3 linked regions of the Danio rerio genome follow. The protein of the gene in region 1 interacts with the protein of each later gene in a biochemical or structural test. Links are inferred from orthologs where the notes say so. Each region holds a gene or a part of one and is shown in the gene's direction. Other genes may lie near its edges. The genes, in order: kpna1, stat1b and kpnb1.

Evidence for each region.
Region 2: the proteins of kpna1 (region 1) and stat1b form a complex in vitro, tested with the Homo sapiens proteins (2 studies listed by BioGRID). The link is inferred for Danio rerio from reciprocal best matches to the Homo sapiens genes KPNA1 and STAT1.
Region 3: the proteins of kpna1 (region 1) and kpnb1 form a complex in vitro, tested with the Homo sapiens proteins (6 studies listed by BioGRID and IntAct, with this or other methods). The link is inferred for Danio rerio from reciprocal best matches to the Homo sapiens genes KPNA1 and KPNB1.

The regions. Positions count from the first base shown.
Region 1 is NC_133199.1:24,830,340-24,833,995, reverse strand, and holds part of kpna1 (importin subunit alpha-5), read left to right. Parts: intron 1-545; coding exon 546-659; intron 660-746; coding exon 747-846; intron 847-936; coding exon 937-1,031; intron 1,032-1,702; coding exon 1,703-1,834; intron 1,835-3,221; coding exon 3,222-3,310; intron 3,311-3,386; coding exon 3,387-3,486; intron 3,487-3,656. UniProt on the Homo sapiens protein: Functions in nuclear protein import as an adapter protein for nuclear receptor KPNB1. Binds specifically and directly to substrates containing either a simple or bipartite NLS motif.
Region 2 is NC_133184.1:42,961,662-42,965,317, forward strand, and holds part of stat1b (signal transducer and activator of transcription 1b), read left to right. Parts: intron 1-199; coding exon 200-358; intron 359-519; coding exon 520-612; intron 613-749; coding exon 750-809; intron 810-1,578; coding exon 1,579-1,608; intron 1,609-1,974; coding exon 1,975-2,065; intron 2,066-2,174; coding exon 2,175-2,210; intron 2,211-3,086; coding exon 3,087-3,170; intron 3,171-3,259; coding exon 3,260-3,358; intron 3,359-3,452; coding exon 3,453-3,588; intron 3,589-3,656. UniProt on the Homo sapiens protein: Signal transducer and transcription activator that mediates cellular responses to interferons (IFNs), cytokine KITLG/SCF and other cytokines and other growth factors.
Region 3 is NC_133194.1:51,598,362-51,602,614, forward strand, and holds the start of kpnb1 (importin subunit beta-1), read left to right. Parts: upstream 1-1,356; 5' UTR 1,357-1,508; coding exon 1,509-1,548; intron 1,549-2,176; coding exon 2,177-2,235; intron 2,236-2,451; coding exon 2,452-2,634; intron 2,635-4,253.

The DNA.
Region 1 (3,656 bases):
AAGAGTGACTTGTTTTTCTGTTTTATTTGACTCTTGTGGTTTTACTAATAAAGATATTATTAAACTAGCCTTAAATTTATAGGAAGGATGGAATGAACTTTGAGACAATATAATGAAAAGAAATTTTTGTCTTTTTGAAAAAAAGTTTCTCACCAATCTGAATTTGTTTGATTAAAATTTATAAAAGTGTATTGTATATAGTGTAAAGTATTATATTCACTATTAACTATTACTGGGCTAGCATAAAATCATATTGTATCATATTTTTGTCATATTTAATGTTTTTAAATATTTTATTATTATTATTATTATTATTATTAGAAAAGTACATTCTACTGGACAACAATATTTCTGTTTCAATTTCATCAATTGAAGCTTTCATTTTGAAGAGTCGTGAAGATGCATGAGTGCTTGATTGTAAATAAAAAAATAAAATATATATTGAAAAATAAAATATATTTAAATAAAATTGCAAGTAAAGTGCACTCTTAAGAGAAGCTTTGGGGATAAAGTTTCAACTTTGACAAATTTGAACGTTCTTATAGCTGTTCAAGCGCAGAAATGTGGCCACAGTGGAGGAGGATGGAGCACTGGAAGATGATGGGATGTCTGACAGCGGATACCTGGAATCACAGGCCAACAATATGGACCAAATCACGGTAGTACAGCAAAAATGAAGGCTAGTCTTAGCTTTTTACTTACTGATGAAAAATTAATTGCCTTTTTTTGTTTTTCCATCGTTAAAGGGAAGTGTTATTTCTGAAGACATGATACAGATGATCTTCTCCAGCTCTCCAGAACAACAGCTCATAGGAACACAGCGCTTCAGAAAGCTCTTATCTAAAGGTGAAATACCCCAAAGACTAAAAATCAAGCATTTACATAATCAAATTAGTGCTAAATTATGCTAATTCTGTCTTTGTAACCCTCCATTAGAGCCTAATCCCCCTATTGATGAGGTTATTGCCACCCCTGGTGTCGTGGAGCGATTTGTTGAGTTCCTGAAAAGAAGAGAGAACTGCACACTACAGGTGATGGATATTTAAGGAATATTAAAATCCCAAGAGATTTTATATATTTCTTTTCTTTGGAAATATTAAAACAGTATGTTGCATCAAGAGAGAAAGACACATTATTTATGTAAGGTATTAAAAAGACAGCAGCCTAAGAAAGAAAATAAAAACTCTTTTGGAACTGTTCTGACTTTTGTTTTGTGAACTGAATCGTTTTCATTCCAAGAGCATGTAAAAAAAGTCAAAAACTCATTGCTGATGAGAAGGGGAGGTTTCATATCTTTAAATTTATGTAGAATTTATTTGATCTATTTAGAATCTCCGTGTTTATATGTTCATTATGAAGGGGCCTACTATTTTTGAAAATGCCCTGCTATATTTCATAATTCTTATTACATGTATCTGAAATAGTGTTTGCTGATTGTGAAATCTATATTCACTGAATCAAATCAAGATTTGTTTCACAAATTGAAAAAAAAAAAAACCTGCTAGACTGAAAACCCCAAGTCGCAGCAGTGAGCCAGTGAGTCATCCAGCATGAGTCTCTCCCAGCACATGCTCACACTCCTGGAATGTGTATATTCTGCAAGTCTTCTCTGAATCTTTATTTAATCCCATCAGCTCTTGAATGGTGCATTAGTGAACATTTTTGTGCAGAATGGTGACAGACGTCTTGTCTTTGTGTGCAGTTTGAAGCAGCGTGGGTTCTGACTAACATCGCCTCAGGAACATCCCACCAGACGCGTGTGGTCATCCAGGCTGGGGCAGTGCCCATTTTCATTGAGATGCTCAGCTCAGATTTTGAAGATGTACAGGAGCAAGTAAGCATCTCATACTATAGACATTTACAAGGGACTTTATAGGGCTGGGCAATTAAATGAAATTAAATTGCATATCTTATAAGGGCGCTCTCACAGATTCTCCAAACACCCCCCGATGAAGAAACCAGAAAATTCTCATAGGTTTTCATTTTAGCCTAAAGATTTAACTGCTTTGAATCAGCATGACTAATTAACACACGACTATGAAATCATCTCACAAAAGAATTTATTTCAAACACTCGACTGTTATAAAGTGTATTTGGAGTACAATAAAAGGCATTATTATATATAGAATTTTTCTGTGCCGCTCTATACAGAGCTGTAGTTCACCGAGAAGCTACACAAACAGCAGAACGATTATCTTAATGTCATTTTTATAAGGTTTATTCAATTTCTTGTCAATAAACTACAACTTGGTGTAGGGAATGCTGCTCCATCTGAAAGAAATCGTCCTGGAAGTTTTGCAGAAGCAGCTTTACTGACAAAATGCGCATTAAATCTTTCTTTAATCACCCAGCCCTAGGTTTTTACATACAAGCCCGAAATACTCAAACATGTTACAATAAAATCCTAAAAAGTAAACCTAGTCGTGATTCATCTGTAGGAGACAAAAGCAATTTATTCATTTACTATATACTATATAACTGCAGGTTAATTATGCTTATATATAAGCATATCTTATTTCTGTTAAAAGTTTTTAGTTACTAGTTAATTTAAGTAATCAGCAACTAATAAAGTTATGGTAACTATTAACCTTAACTTTTCTGATTTTGATTATTATGCAATAACATACACCTTTTGTAATGCTGCTTTGAAATAATGATTATTGTGAAAAGCACTATACAGTGTCCATACGATCCTGGAAAACCTGGAAAAGTCATGGAATTTTGTCAGGTCATTTTCCAGGTCCAGGAAAATTAATAAACCCAAAATGTTTTGGAAAAATCACGGAGATTTCTCCAAAAGATAATTTTCATACAGACATCAAGATATTTTCTAAAAACTGTTTCACTAATATAAAAATAAACATATTACATAGATTGTCACACATTTCTTGATATGGTGTAATAAATTTGAATGTGTGTTTTGTCTTATTTACCATGTGTATTTCATGACAGTAGGTCATAAATATTTACCTGAATGTTTTGGAAACTTCATGGAAAAGTCCTGGAATTTTAGTAGTTAAAATGTGTATGAACCCTGACTATACAAATAAACTTGAATTCAACTTAATTCGTTTTAGAAAATCATCACTGCATTTATACTTTAAAATTAATAAAAATAAAATATTTAGCTGCAAATGAAATGTTCAGTCTGTTCCAAGCTTTTTTGTATATTGAGAATTCATAGGACCTATGTAAGTTTGTGATTGTGTTTTTCTTTGCAGGCAGTGTGGGCTTTAGGTAATATCGCCGGTGACAGCACTGAATGCAGGGACTATGTTCTGGACTGCAATATTTTGCCCTCTCTAGTACAGTAAGTGATACTATCTTTTTTTTAGAGCACCCATATCTTTGAATGGCTGTTCTGATTGTGCTGATTTTTATTGCAGGTTATTGGCCAAACAAAATCGCCTGACTATGATGAGAAACGCAGTCTGGGCTCTGTCTAACCTGTGCAGAGGGAAAAATCCACCACCGGATTTTGCCAAGGTAAAAGTCTTGTTTTGATCTTAATAGATCTGTACAATACATTTTTTTAAACAATGCACAAGTAGTTTGCAAATTTAAAATAAATGTTACTTAAATAATATATCATGGTTTCCACAAAAATATTAAGCAGCATTGTTTTCAACAGTGAGAATATTCGTTCAACATTATGT
Region 2 (3,656 bases), on another chromosome or scaffold:
TGTAAGTTGTAATTAATTACAAAATTAGCATTATTTATCAGACGATTATTACAGAAAGGCATTTATAATGAATTTACAAATTGTATGTGGGCATAGGATGGAGCTCCTTTTGGTTGTATTGCTCTTATTTTTACAGTATAGTATATTTATATACAGTATATACGTTTTATAAATAGTTAAAGCGTGACTTGTTCTCCAGGTTCACGGTGGTGGCAGAGTGTCTCCAGCAGATCCGTCAGCAGCTGAAGAAAGTTCAGGAACTGGTCCAGAAATTCACCTACAGCAACGACCCGCTAAATCTAGGAAGGGGCCAGCTGGATGAACAGGCCATTTCACTCTTCAAAAGCCTCATATTAAAGTGAGACACCACAGCTCATCATGAAAATGACTTCATATGTAGAACACACGCTTTAGTAAAAGAGGAAACCAACAGAAATTTGATTATATATTATGGCGTGTGTCAGATTTCAGTGTTGAACAGGCCGACAGTGTTTTGATCTTTCTTTGCGTGTCTTTTAGTTCTCTTGTGGTGGAGAGGCAGCCCTGTATGCCAACACATCCTCAGAGACCCTTGGTAATAAAAACAGGAGTTCAGTTCACCGTCAAGATCAGGTGGGTTTCTTTCATTATTAATGTTGCTTTTACTCATTTTAATTGATGGTTCTGAAGAAGAGCTTTTAATTCCAGTGATGCTTATTCAAAGTCAATCTTTAGTCTGATGTGCTATTTTATATTACATTATTTCATAGGTCACTAGTCAAACTCCCTGAACTGAATTGTCAACTGAAAGTGAAAGTTTTTATTGACAAGTAAGCTATATCTATCTATCTATCTATCTATCTATCTATCTATCTATCTATCTATCTATCTATCTATCTATCTATCTATCTATCTATCTATCTATCTATCTATCTATCTATCAATCTATCAATCTATCTATCTATCTATCTATCTATCTATCAATCTATCAATCTATCTATCTATCTATCTATCAATCTATCAATCTATCTATCTATCAATCTATCAATCTATCTATCTATCTATCTATCTATCTATCAATCTATCTATCTATCTATCTATCTATCTATCTATCTATCTATCTATCTATCTATCTATCTATCTATCTATCTATCTATCTATCTATCTATCTATCTATCTATCTATCTATCTATCTATCTACCTACCTACCTACCTACCTACCTACAGATCTATCTATCTATCTATCCATCCATCCATCCATCCATCCATCCATCTATCCATCTATCTATCTATCTATCTATCTATCTATCTATCTATCTATCTATCTATCTATCTATCTATCTATCTATCTATCTATCTATCTATCTATCTATCTATCTATCTATCTATCTATCTATCTATCTATCTATCTATCTACCTACCTACCTACCTACCTACCTACCTACCTACCTACCTACAGATCTATCTATCTATCTATCCATCCATCCATCCATCCATCCATCCATCCATCCATCCATCCATCCATCCATCCATCCATCCATCCATCCATCCATCCATCCATCTATCTATCTAATGGTTTTTATTGTTTTCCTCCTGTAGAAATTTAACAGAGAGGGACACAATAAAAGGGTAAGTAACATATTACACAGAATTTCAGAGAACAAATATGGTTTATTAATACTATGAAATTATATTTTGACTGAGACAGAGCATTTAGATATATAGCAAGGAGTCCAATGTAATATCTTGTGGCCCAGACAACATCCACAAAAACCTCTGCAACCCACAATTGAACAAGACTGCTATATTACTTAACTATACACACCATTTATCAATGTGATAAGACAACCGCACAAATACAACTGATAAATTATTCAGATAGTTTTGTTTGAATACATGTTTAAATAGTTTATCATTTGTATAGCACAATTATAATTTATGTACAGCATGACACCAGCTGAAATTATAACATTGTCTTATATTCTAATGTTCTAGAGGTAGAAAATTCAACATATTAGGGACGAATACTAAAGTTATGAACTTAGAAGAATCCAGTGGATGTCTAGCAGCTGAATTTCGTCATTTGGTATGATGTTAAAAAAACTACAGAATAAGACACAGCTGATTCATACACACATGATCATGTCAAATCCAAAACTTAATTGTTCCTCTTTCTTTTTCACTGTTTACTACAGCAATTAAAAGAAATGAAAACTAGCAGAACCAATGAGGTAGGTTAAAAAAACATGCACTTTAAAAAATATCTGTAAATGAGCAGTTTTCTGTATATTGTGGGGCTGCACGGTATTGAAAAAAAATTGACATTGCAACATTTAGGTTTTCTGCGTATATATTGCAATATGATTAAAATGTTCACCAAATGGTTTAATAACGTTATTTTGGAAAGAAATCTTGAATTTAGACTGATTGTAGTGATTTTGTAAGGATGTGAATCATGGATGAAAATTAATAAACAAATTGCAAGCAAAAAATAAATGCAAAAGAGCAATGAAAAACATAGAACTTTATGGTTTTCCAGAGAGTCAAACAGTATTTAGGTACAGAAATTGAATAATAAAATGTAATATCAATTGTAAAATAGCACTGCATAAACTTCATTATATTAATCATTCAGTTAAAAGTTACTAATGTCAGTTTGCTTTAAACTCTTTTGAAGTGAAGTTTATTTATAAAATTATTTTAAGAGGATCACGTTCTTATGATTGCTAGCGGCTGGTCCCGCATTATTCAATTTATGATTCACCAATCAGACGATTACAAAAACCTTGTAATAATCTGCCAGTACATTTTCTTCTATTTTACAGACTTATTTCCCAGAATTATGTTACTTCTTATACATTATATTATTTCAAACAATGTTAATAAAAGTCGCTTTATTAAACTGCAGAGTTGAATTTTCAACATCAAAAGTCGACAGAGCAGACATCAACATCCCATAATGGAATTCACAACCGTAAAAAAATGGCAAACACTAGTGAATAACAAAATATAAAAAAAAACTGTTAATTAACAGCTTTTAACTGTGTGCAATGATGTCAAATTAAGTGATAAAAGCATTAACAAATGTTTTTTTATATATATTTCAGACGCCTCTCATCGTTACAGAGGAGATGCACCTACTTAGCTTTGAAACTCAACTTATTCAGCCAGAGCTGAGTGTTGATTTATCGGTAAAGTGCTTTGAAAAGTTTCTACTCCAGTGCAAACACTTGATCAGACCAGTAATTCTAACCAGACCTGTTTGCTTCAATTTAAACAGATCATATCACTTCCTATTGTGGTGATCTCACATGTCAACCAGTTACCCAGTGCCTGGGGCTCAATCTTATGGTACAACATGCTCAGCGGTGAACCACATGTACGGGCCCATTTACAGTACCATCATCAACATTTTCCTCCTCCGCTAACGTCTCTATTCTGACTCACGCTCTTGATCTCGCTCTCTGTCTCAGAATCTGACGTTCTTCTTGAATCCGCCACCGGTGAAATGGGTTCAGCTTTCAAAGGTCATAAGCTGGCAGTTTTCTTCAGTCAGCAAACGAGCGCTGACCTCAGATCAGCTGAGAACAATAGCCGACAAACTTCTAGGTGAGATGACTCAATGATTTATACACTCAATTCAAGTCATCTTTAATTCTGTAGCGCTTTTTACCATG
Region 3 (4,253 bases), on another chromosome or scaffold:
CCCTCACGTCCGAGAATGCATTTATCGTTTACATGCGCTGAGATGTACTGACCGACACACTGACCGCTCTCGGGTGTGCGGGACGGTGGCGAGCGTTCACAGGCTGGTCAGTGGTTGTTGCTCAGAGAATTCAGTCGTATTTCGCCACTATGCTGGTACCCACTGTTTATTTTTTGCTGAGATTCACATGCTAACTCATCCTCCACTCAACATGAGCGTGCGCGGGGCAGACACACACACACACACACACACACACACACACACACTCACACACACTTCTCTATTCCATCACCCAGCTTGAGGACTGATTGGTTTGGGCTTGAGACGGCCGCTGCCCCGCGCCGCACACATCAGCCGTGTTCAGTCGTCCTCATGTCTCTGTCTGCCAGATTCTCTCAGTATCGGTTGTGTTTAGCGCTGCATTTGACCAATTCCTGATCACATTTATAAATTGATGGCCGCTGCATTGATCGCCGGCGGTGCACAGGCGGCCGCTGGGATATGTGTGCTGATTGGCTGTTGGAGAGCGGGGGGGCGGGTCTGCAGGACGGGGCGGGTTAGCGAGGGTTGCGTAATGTTACAATTCTGTTGTGTATATTAAATCCCAGTTGTTCACGATGACTGCAATATGAATTATGTTAAATAAAATATTGACTTGAATGCCTACAGTGATGGAGGAGTGTCAACTACAGCCTCACACACACACACAAACTGTCTCATACACACACACAAACACAACCTCACACACGCTTTCTCACAGACACACACACACCATCTCACACACTGCCTCTTCTACAGCAATAATAAACTGAGCACACTGAGCAGGAGCGCTGTTGTGTGTGTGTGTGTGTGTGTGTGTGTGTGTGTGCTTCTGCACAGGAAGCTGCTCTAGAACTCTCCTCCGCTCGTGTGTGATCAGTGTTCCTCAGGCTGAAGGGCTCATGATCACGGCTGCAGTACACTATGCTGAAGTACACTGAAGACCTGCTTCCTGTTCCCTGTGTGTGTAGTGTTCTGCAGAGGGATTGGGACAGCTATAACGAGCCCTCAGTGTGTGTCATAATAGTGCACATCTGCAGTTCACTTCATCAAAGTGCTGAGTAATGATGACTTTGCGCCTGAAGGTGCTGTTCCTCTAGTAATCAGTGTGCCGTGGGAATCACACCACACGCTACCCCTGATAACAGTGCGCTCCGTGTCTTCATCATCTGCTCTTTCTGACCCACACTCGGTCTGACGGGCTCTTGTAATGAACGCAGTTCTCCACACTATCGAGACGCTCCCTCAGTAGGCAGCAGAGCGTCATGATGCTGCGCGTGGGCGGGACCTGTGACGTCAGCGCGTGATATCGTTCCGCGGGCGGGAGTTCCGCGCGGCCTTTTCCTCGCGACAGCGGCTGATGAGCAGAAGCGGTAACCGCGAGAACGGCTCGGCGCTTCAGCATTAGGCGTGGACCGACCGACTTTACCGACCGACTGCACTCGTTCTGCCCCCGCGGACCCGACAGGATGGAGCTGATCACGATCCTCGAGAAGACCGTGTCTCCAGGTAAGCAATCCTCACACGCGCCTCTCCCGCGCACGGATGCCGTTTCTCCCGCGTGATGACCGGGGCTGAGCCGCTTCCCCGGGTGTGAGCGACGGTTAGCGGGCGGCTAACGCAGCGCAGGCCCGGTCGCTGAACCGCGAACGCGACGCGTTAATCTCCACCCGTCGAGTGGCGAACAGCAGCCGGACCCTCGGCTCGCCAGAGCAGGAGCGGGTTACCGGCCTGCTCGGTGTGTCCGGTCTCTGCGCGGTAACGAGTGTTAATGATCAGAGTTCACACACCGACACACGGCTCTACTTCATGGTCGCGCACATGTCGCGCCGCCGTGGGGTTTGTCCCGCCCGCGCTTCTGTTGGTAAAGTTGTTAGCAGTTAGCATGCTAGTCAGGAAGTGGCTAGGTGTTAGCATGGCTAGCACTCAGTCATCCTGTGCCGCTGCCTCTGAAAGTTCGCGCGTGTACGGCCGTGTCTAGTTTACACCGACTCTCCTCCCGCTCGGAGCCCGGTAAAGCGCTGTGGCCGAGCGCGATGCGGAGTTTCCCGGTTCTGACGCGCAGCTCCGCGTTTGGCGGGAGAGTTTCACAAGCGATCGATCAGGGAATTGACTGATGATTGTGATTGATTTTCAGATCGGAATGAGCTGGAGGCGGCACAGAAGTTTCTGGAGCAGGCGGCCATCGAGAACCTGGTGATGAAGCACACACACACACACACACACACACATCAACTGTCTCACAGACACACACACACTGTACTACTGTGTTGAATTGATAGTGTGTAAATTGTTTCTGGACCAGGACTCTGTTGTGTGTGTGGATCTCAGTACTGTGCTGAGATCAGCTCCAGCAGACCACTGGTTCTCCTACAGGTGTGTGTGTGTGTAACTCTGTGTTCTGCTTCTCAGCCGACCTTCCTGGTGGAGTTGTCCAAGGTGTTGGCGAACCCGGGGAACACACAGGTGGCTCGCGTCGCCGCCGGCCTGCAGGTCAAGAACTCTTTGACCTCTAAAGACCCGGAAGTGAAGAGTCAGTACCAGCAGAGATGGCTGGCTATCGACACCAGCGCACGCAGGGAGATCAAGAACTACGTAAGGATGCTGTGTGTGTGTGTGTGTGTGTAAGAGAGAGAGAGAGAGATCTTCAGGATGCAGGAAGGTAAAGTGTGTGTTCACAGAGATCAGACACACACTCCTAAATGATGGCGGTATTTGCTCAAACGGGCTGGACCAGCTGTAGAATGTGGATCTGCAGGAGTTTAGTACTTTCACTTACAGTAGTGCAGCGCTCAGCTTCCCCTGATCACTGACGGAGCATGCTGGAGTGTGTGTGTGTGTGATGTTGATGTGAGCGTCAGCATGGGGAACTTGAGTATTCATCTTGAAGTCCTCATGGCGGTCACTCTGCTGTTCTGAGATCAGCCTTTACAGCAGCAGGAGTTCAGTGATGATCAGCTGTGGTGAAAAACTTCGCTCAGTTTCTCCTGAACATCACTGCAGATGATTATAGTTTAATATTCAGGAAACCGCAGCACCTGAACACTACACCTGCAGACAGCCGTGTTCATGATGGAGGCATCGTGTGTGTGTGTGTGTGTGTGTGTGCGCGTGTGTGTGTGCACCGCCACTGCTGTTCTTCTGCTGTGCAGACAGGCCTGTGGAGGTTTAATGGAGCTCTGTGGTAGAGCGGGTAAATTGAGCTCTGGGCTCAGCTGTGCTGTTTAAGGCCCGACTGAAACACCTGCATTATTAAAGGGCCATGAGACCCCCTCGTTTCAGCAGGGTGTTTTCACACCTCTACTCTGGAAAAAGTCAGAAAAGTGGGCGTGTCCAGCTCTGTTTAGGGGGGAGTGTCGGAGGAACTAAAGTGGGAGGGTGTGGGAGTGTCTATTTGGGCACGCGCGAGTTTCAGAGTCAAAACACACACAGTAGAAAGTGATGGTGTTTAACCTACATGCACATCTGTAGTCGAATTATTTGCCAAATGATTAAATGCTGGACTTTAACTGCAGTTTGGCTCTTTCATTCAGGGAATTCATTCATGTCCCTCGCGACAAACGAGATATGTGATTCGAGGAACTGCTCTAAGCGTGTATTTTTCATGTAATGTTTGATCCCGCACGGCGAATGAGAGAAAAAAAACTCAGCATTTCCCGGAAACTTAAATGCACTCGGCAGGTAGTGTCAGAAAGCCGCGTGTGTTATTCCGGTCACTAAATGCGGTCACAAAATCCAACACGAGGGTAAAGTTTGGTTGTGGTGCTAACGTGTTTACACTCGGTGCAATAGTTTGTTAGATATAAACAAAGAGCGCTGGTCGCTCACTTACCAAACCTGTAGAGACAGGACAATCACCAGCAACTAGAGCCGCGTCTTTATTTAGAGGAGACTACAATCCGGATCTCAGCGTTTGCAGATGAGAACAGCTCTCAGGTAAACAATAATCCTCCTTAGACACGTAAGTTATTGTTGTCGAGCGTCGCGTACACTGTTAATCCACACGTGAGTCCAGCTGCGCTCTCACAGAGAGAAAATGAAAACAAAACTTCACTGCAGCAAACTATTAAAGCAACACTTCACGCTTGTTTTGCCAACACAACGTGGCGTCTCTGTCGTGTAAACATGGTGACAGTAATGAATATTAATGAAGTTGCACAATAGAGCGCGCTGATTGGTTTGAACCAAGCCTTACTCATGCATTAATGCAGCAC